Linked DNA regions of Cricetulus griseus. The protein of the gene in region 1 interacts with the protein of each later gene in a pairwise test. Links are inferred from orthologs where the notes say so. Each region holds a gene or a part of one and is shown in the gene's direction. Other genes may lie near its edges. The genes, in order: Card9 and Cwf19l2.

Region 1 (3,820 bases):
CCCTTGTGTCCTTGCCCAAAGCCCTGTTCTGGCACTCACAGGCCTGGGTCCTATTGTAGGCTGACTGCTCCAGACCCAGTAGAGAACAGAAGGTGGGCACTTCCTGAGCTGCTCTCCCCTGACTGTGACCACAGACTACAGAGGACATGTCAGACTATGAAAATGATGACGAGTGCTGGAGTGCCCTGGAGAGCTTCCGGGTGAAGCTCATCTCTGTTATTGACCCCTCACGAATCACACCCTATCTGCGCCAGTGCAAAGTCCTGAACCCCGATGATGAGGAGCAGGTGCTCAGTGACCCCAACCTGGTCATTCGCAAGCGGAAAGTGGGTGAGGGCTGCTCCCACACCAGCAGGGCTGTCCCTAGTCCCTCATGGTCCCCACAGACACCTGGCCAGAGGCTGCTACATGCTGTGCCGCCCTGGCCTTGTCCCCACCCAGCTCCATCTACACCTAGGATGTATGCATGAGAGCCTTCTCTCCTCTCATCATGCCTACCTGCTGCTACCCAGAGGAGGGAAGGGGAGTTCCTACCATTGTTCAGGCTGTGAGAGAGCCACAAGAGTGAAGGCAGCACCTTACTCTGCCTTGACTGAGACCTGCAGGGTGCCTTATGCAATGCCCCAGATCCCTCTGCTAGGAAGGGCCCAGAAACGAGGGCTGGGGGTCCACAGCTTGGCACCTCTACTCAGAGCAGTCATCCACTGTCCCACCTGGGCCCCAGAGCTTCTACATACCCAGACCTTGGCCTCAACTCTGTCTCTTCCATCTGTAGGTGTGCTACTGGACATCCTGCAGCGGACAGGCCACAAGGGCTATGTAGCCTTCCTTGAGAGTCTGGAACTCTATTACCCTCAATTATACAGGAAAGTCACGGGCAAGGAGCCAGCACGAGTCTTCTCCATGATCATTGGTGAGAGGCACAGAGTGGGTGGGTGCTGTGAGTGCAGTCAGGTGCCACCAGGTCCTGGCTTCTGTGATTACATCAGAATGAATGAGTCTAATACAAGCCCTGTGGTACATATCAGAGTAGTGGTACCAGTGACTACTCTCAGGTGCTCAGGGTCAGGGCTCCCTTCTCTGCCTTTCCTACTCCCATCCTAAGAACATCCACTAAGAAGAGGTGACCCCTCTATAAAGTATTAATTCCATGGGGCCCAGTTACCACCTAAGGACAGAATCCCACAGTTTCTAGAGGGGACAGAGGTGAACTGATGGAATAGCCACATCCCTATCAGTCCACATCCCTATCATTCATCTCATAAAGATCTTTATAAAGGTAGACAGAGGGCCAGGCATGCTGGCACACACCTTTAATCCCAGGGAGAAGCAGGCAGATCTCTGAGTTAGAGGCCACCCTGGACTACATAGTGAGACCTTTTCTCAGGGAAAAGAGAGAGAAAAAGAGAGAGAGAGAGAGAGAGAGAGAGAGAGGGCCAGCTGGAGTCCTGGCATGTGATAAGTTAGAATCTCAGTCAGTTCATATGTGAGGGGCAGCAAGGCAGACTGGGCCTGGTGAACAGTCCCCAGGGAGCCTTCCCACCAGCTTTCTCTCTGTGGAAGACCAGTAGTGCTCCCTCTGCCCCTCAAACTGCTGGTCTTCAAGCACATACTTCTGGACAAGGACAAGCACAGGGTCTGCAGGTGACAGCCACAGGCTCCATCTGACACTGCATGGTCCCCAGATGCATCAGGGGAGTCAGGCCTGACGCAGCTGCTGATGACAGAGGTCATGAAGCTGCAGAAGAAGGTTCAGGACCTGACGGCACTTCTGAGCTCCAAGGACGACTTCATCAAGGAGCTTCGGGTAAAGGACAGCCTCCTGCGCAAGCACCAGGAGCGTGTGCAGCGGCTCAAGGAAGAGTGTGAGCTGAGCAGCCGAGAGCTGAAGCGCTGCAAGGATGAGAACTATGACCTGGCCATGCGCCTAGCACATCTGAGTGAAGAGAAGGGCTCAGCGCTCATGCGGAACCGGGACCTGCAGCTCGAGGTGATCGCTTGTCCCACCAGCAGGGGGGTGGGGGTGGGGGTGTCTGGAGGAGGCTGCTGCTGACTGGACCACCCACAGGTGGACCGGCTCAGGCACAGCCTCATGAAGGCAGAGGATGATTGCAAGGTGGAGCGAAAACACACCCTGAAGCTCAGGCATGCTATGGAGCAGCGGCCCAGCCAGGAGCTGATGTGGGAGCTGCAGCAGGAAAAGGACTTGCTGCAGGCCCGGGTGCAGGAGCTGGAGGTCTCTGTACAGGTAGGGCTACCAGCAGTGCACACCAGGGGCACACCAGATGGTACAACTGCAATGGCCAGGCTTGTTGCCCTTTGCCACCTCCAGGAGGGCAAGCTAGACAGGAACAGCCCCTACATTCAAGTGCTGCAGGAGGACTGGCGCCAGGCACTGCAGGAGCACCAAGAGCAGGCCAACACCATCTTCTCCCTACGCAAGGACCTCCGCCAAGCTGAGGCCCTCCGGACCCGGGTGAGAGGGCAGGGCAGGCAAGCAGTACCCACTGGGTATCTGGAAGGCAGGGTCTGGAATGTAACTCACTGTCTCCCCTTCACCAATTCCTGGTGCACAGTGGTGTCATGTCCACAGCTAGGGTCATCCTTTCAGTTTACCGTGTGATCGGTGGTGGCTGAGGCCATGGTCTCAGACCAGGCAAGCCTGCTGTGGCCTGGGACTGCAGTGCCCTTCCCATCATCCCGGCTAGCCCGATCTTGAGTGCTCTGAAGGTGTTGCCTGAGTCCAGCCCAGGGCCAGGTGAGCAGTGGAGAGTGGGTGAGGCTGAGTGGTGCTTCCTGTAGTGCGTGGAGGAAAGGGAGATGTTCGAGCTGCAGTGCCTGGCCTTGCGTAAGGATGCCAAGATGTACAAGGACCGGATCGAGGCTATCCTGCAGCAGATGGAGGAAGTCTCCATTGAGCGGGACCAGGTAGGTGTTGCATTTGTGTTCAGAAGATGAGAATGAGAGGAGTGTTTGGGTGCCGGTGTAGAGGCTTTTGAAGCTGTGGTCAACTCATTACTTTATCTATCTATCTATCTATCTATCTATCTATCTATCTATCTATCTATCTATCTACCTACCTACCTATCTATTTATGCCTGAGGTAACTTGGCAATGTTGAAAGATAGAACCTGGAGCCTCTTGTACAAAGACAGGAACATCTGCCTCTCTCACAGGAAGGGCCAGTGTAGCAGGGGAGTCCCAGTGGCGCCTGTGCTGGTTAGGGGAAGGTCAGGGTTGGAAACTTCAATAGAGGAGAGGAAGTTGCTAGCTACACAGGTGGGAGGTGGAGGCCACAGTATTGGGTAGAAGAGCTGGTGGTAACCCCCTGGAATAGGCAGCAGTAGTAGTAGTGGTAGCTCATACCTGTACTCCCAGCATTTGGAGGTTGAAACAAAATAACTACTGTGAATTCAAGGCCAGCCTGGATTACACAGTGAGTTCCAAGCCAGTTTGGGCTACAATGGTAGACCCGGTCTCAAAAAACCAAAAACAACAAAAAGTAGTAGCAACTGAGCCAACTTTGGTGGCACATGCCTGTAATTCCAGGCTTTGGAGGTAGAGTCAGGAGGATCAAAAATTCAAGGCCATCCTCAGATACATAGTAAATTTTAGGCCAGTTTGGGAAATGAATGAAACTGTCTCCCAGGAAACAAAAGAAGAAGCATGGTATTCATTTTAAGAACAGCCATCAATCATGTTCTTTGTTTGTTTTTTGTTTTTTTGAGACAGTGTTTCTCTGTGTCATCTTGGCTGTCCTGGAACTCACTTTGTAGACCAGGCTGGCCTCCAACTCACAGAGATCCGCCTGCCTCTGCCT
Region 2 (3,252 bases), on another chromosome or scaffold:
GGATGTTCCCAGCAAACCTCAGAATGCTTCTTGTTTCTCCCAAGACTCAAATGTTTGTCAATTTCTAATTCATAGGAATCAGAAATGTGCTTAAAGCTGAAAGCGAGGATGTAATTATATTACTAGGCCCAAGATAAATGATAAATGGGTGTTTGTTGGGGACAATTACACAGAAAAATACAAAGAACCACTAGAGCCTTTCCCTGCTCTTCCTATGGGATCTGCTGACCCACCAGAAAGAAGTGCACAAAGAAAAGCCACATCTCAAGCTCCTCTTTTTCCAATTCCTTCTGCCTGAAGCCACACCCAAAGGGGTGTGGCTACTGTTTCAGGTCCACAGACCAGATGCCTACATAAAACCTTGTCTATCTGTTTTTACTTTATTTTTTCTCAATTGTCAATACATGACTATTATCTAAAAATACAAAACTACAGAAAAATATAAATATATGAAGCAGCCTTTTTATGCTTATACTACTTTGTAGACTGATTTTTTAACTTCCTCCTTTTCCTGTTAAATGAGCAGCATTTTGTTGTCAATAATTTTATTTGATTTATAATGATTAAAGAGGACTTTTCTGTTTGTACCATATAGTACCTCATACTCTGAGTTGTGCCTTCCTAAGTATTTAATACCAGTTGTGTGTACTTAAATAGCAATATGTGGATCAGTGCCCAGATGAGTCATGTTGATTTTGAGATGGTATTAGAGGAGAAACTTACTGTGTATTGACCAACCTCGATAATTTCTAGTGTTAAAAGTTGGGACTTAGAGGAAAAACTTACAAAGATGCAAAATCTGCCAGATAAGAAAACAAGAAATTATAGCTCTTTTCAATCAGTATGGAGATTAAAACTCTTCCTTTGTCTCTCTGTCCCTCTCTCCCTCGCTCCCGTGTGTGTGTGTGTGTGTGTGTGTGTGTGTGTGTGTGTGTGTGTGTGTGTGTGTGTGTGTCTGTGTGTGTCTGTGTGTCTGTGTGTGTCTGTGTGTGTCTGTGTGTGTCTGTGTGTGTCTGTGTGTGTGTCTGTGTGTGTGTAAAATGAGGAATAGAAGGATAATAGAGAGCTGATCCCAATGTATTGTGAAATTAACTTGGTAAAGTAAATATTGCTATTTTATCTCACTAGTAATGATAAAAATAAAAATTATAAATTTATTTATATTTAATAAATATTATCATATTGAAGATTTTATAAGTGTATAAACACAGCCACAAATATATGATCAAGTTCTCTTCCTAAGTAAAATATGAACAAAACATACTTTTATTTGTGTAATTGTAGAAAAATTGTTTCTTGGCACTACAAAAATATTTGAATACCTTTTTTCTACTGTCTTCAAGAACAGAAAAGTGTTTGTTTTGATTGTGAATTGCTAGACTTGATGAAGCTCTGTCTGGCTGAAAGGCTATCAGAGTGAAATCTTTTCCTTGGAAAGTTAGGTCATTGGAAATTTGTCATACACATCCTCCTGATGGATGATGATTAGTTCTCTCATGGCAGAAAATTGGAGAAGGCATAGCTTTCCTACTTCATATGTAATTTTTTGTTTACTCAGGTGCCCAGAGGCTTGCCTTACTTTGCTGTAGACTTTGGCCTTCAGGGAGGATTTGCCCATGTCATTGAAGATCAACACAAATTTCCTCGTTACTTTGGAAAGGTATACTCAGAAATTTGATAAAACCCTGAAGATTAGTGGTTTGGTTAATATTTTCACAAGGTTGTGAAAGAAAAAGTTTGAATCACAGAATTTGATGAGTTGTTTTCTATACAAGTTTGACAGAGAAGGGTGTGGGGGTGTGTGTGATATTAACAATAAAAGAAAAAAGTACCAGAATATTCATTAGCCAATCAGAAATTTCATTGTGTAACAGACATTTTTGGACATTGTGCTCGCTCAGTCTTTGTAACTATAATGTTTTCCTAACTTTGGAGTCAGCTTTGTCCTGAAAGTTATGTTATTTGCTAATGTTTATTGAGGGCTTACAGTGTGCCCATCTACTGTCTAAGCAGCCATCTAGTGCTCACAGTTACTCTACTGTCTAGATTTTGTTCTAACATTTGTTGTGAAGATAGGAAAACTCTAAATTGCAAAGGGGTTCTGTGATTTCCCTAGGGTTATGTGCTAAGTGAGAGGACCCAGGTACCACAGGTGATGGTTAATACAGAAAATAAATGGTGTTAGCTCTTCATTTGTAGTTAAGGTATAATCCAGGAAAAATAAATAACTCATTTCACAGTTAGGTTCTGGGCACGTATGAAAATCCCCATCATTTGATTACCAGTAGTTTCTTTCAGGGGGAAAAAAAAATGCCTTCATAAGAGCATATTCCTTAAATTTAGAGGTCTACATACTAAGTATCTAAATTCTCTTCAGGAACTGGAATGAAATTAATGTAGTGTGTGAAATTGGCAAAAATGAATCTGGGCCTAGCTCAAGCCTTCTTGTATCACCTTTCTGTGATTATGCCTCTACAGAGACCAGCCTTGATAAACTCTGCTGAGAGTTCATAATTTCCCACCCTGCTTCCCCCTCTGCCCTGCTCTCATCTGCATGAGATAATCTTCTACAATGAAATTGGGATGTTTCAAGAGAAAACAGCTCCATTAGTTTCAATCCAGAACTCACTATGCTGCTGGCCTTAAATGAATATGCACATTCCAAAATCACATGCATTTTTGAATTATTACTTAAATATTCTCACATAGCCCAGACTGGTCTTGAACTCACCACATAGCTAACTATATCCTTGCACTGCTGTTCATCCGGCCTCCACCTCCTGATGTGAGTTTCCAGGACTGTACCATCATGCCTGTTTTTCCACAGCCTTGTGGATCAAACCCATAGCTTCATGCATGTCTGGCCTGCATTCTACTGCTCTACCAACTTAGGTGTATCCTATCCCCTGTTTGAGAAGTTTGCTGATTTTTCTACAGAATTAACAACAACAAATAAAAAACAAAAACTCAAAAACTTTGTTTTCACTGCTTTGAACAATCCTGTTGTTCCCTAGAGATTTTTAACTGCTCTTTAGCTTTCAATTTATAGCTCTGGATTCATAGTCTTAAAATGTGTTTCCAGAGGAAAGGACATCACTATGACCCATTGTTTCACATTTTAAATTTTTATTGGAAGAATTGCCTCCCCTTCAAATATTACTCATGCATTTCCCCATGTCTCAAGAAATACTTTGGATCCTCCTTTGACTTGCTGCCCAAGAAATTACTCAGAGAACAATGGAAAATGGTCTC

The links.
Region 2: the proteins of Card9 (region 1) and Cwf19l2 interact in binary tests that used the Homo sapiens proteins (3 or more experiments, as listed by UniProt). The two-hybrid records come from large-scale screens. The link is inferred for Cricetulus griseus from reciprocal best matches to the Homo sapiens genes CARD9 and CWF19L2.

Annotation. Positions count from the first base shown.
Region 1 is NC_048599.1:137,744,289-137,748,108, reverse strand, and holds part of Card9 (caspase recruitment domain-containing protein 9), read left to right. Parts: 5' UTR 1-146; coding exon 147-330; intron 331-775; coding exon 776-913; intron 914-1,109; exon of another isoform or gene 1,110-1,685; coding exon 1,686-1,990; intron 1,991-2,068; coding exon 2,069-2,248; coding exon of another isoform or gene 2,249-2,332; coding exon 2,333-2,476; intron 2,477-2,802; coding exon 2,803-2,928; intron 2,929-3,820. UniProt on the Homo sapiens protein: Adapter protein that plays a key role in innate immune response against fungi by forming signaling complexes downstream of C-type lectin receptors.
Region 2 is NC_048597.1:118,136,642-118,139,893, forward strand, and holds part of Cwf19l2 (CWF19-like protein 2), read left to right. Parts: intron 1-1,558; coding exon 1,559-1,660; intron 1,661-3,252.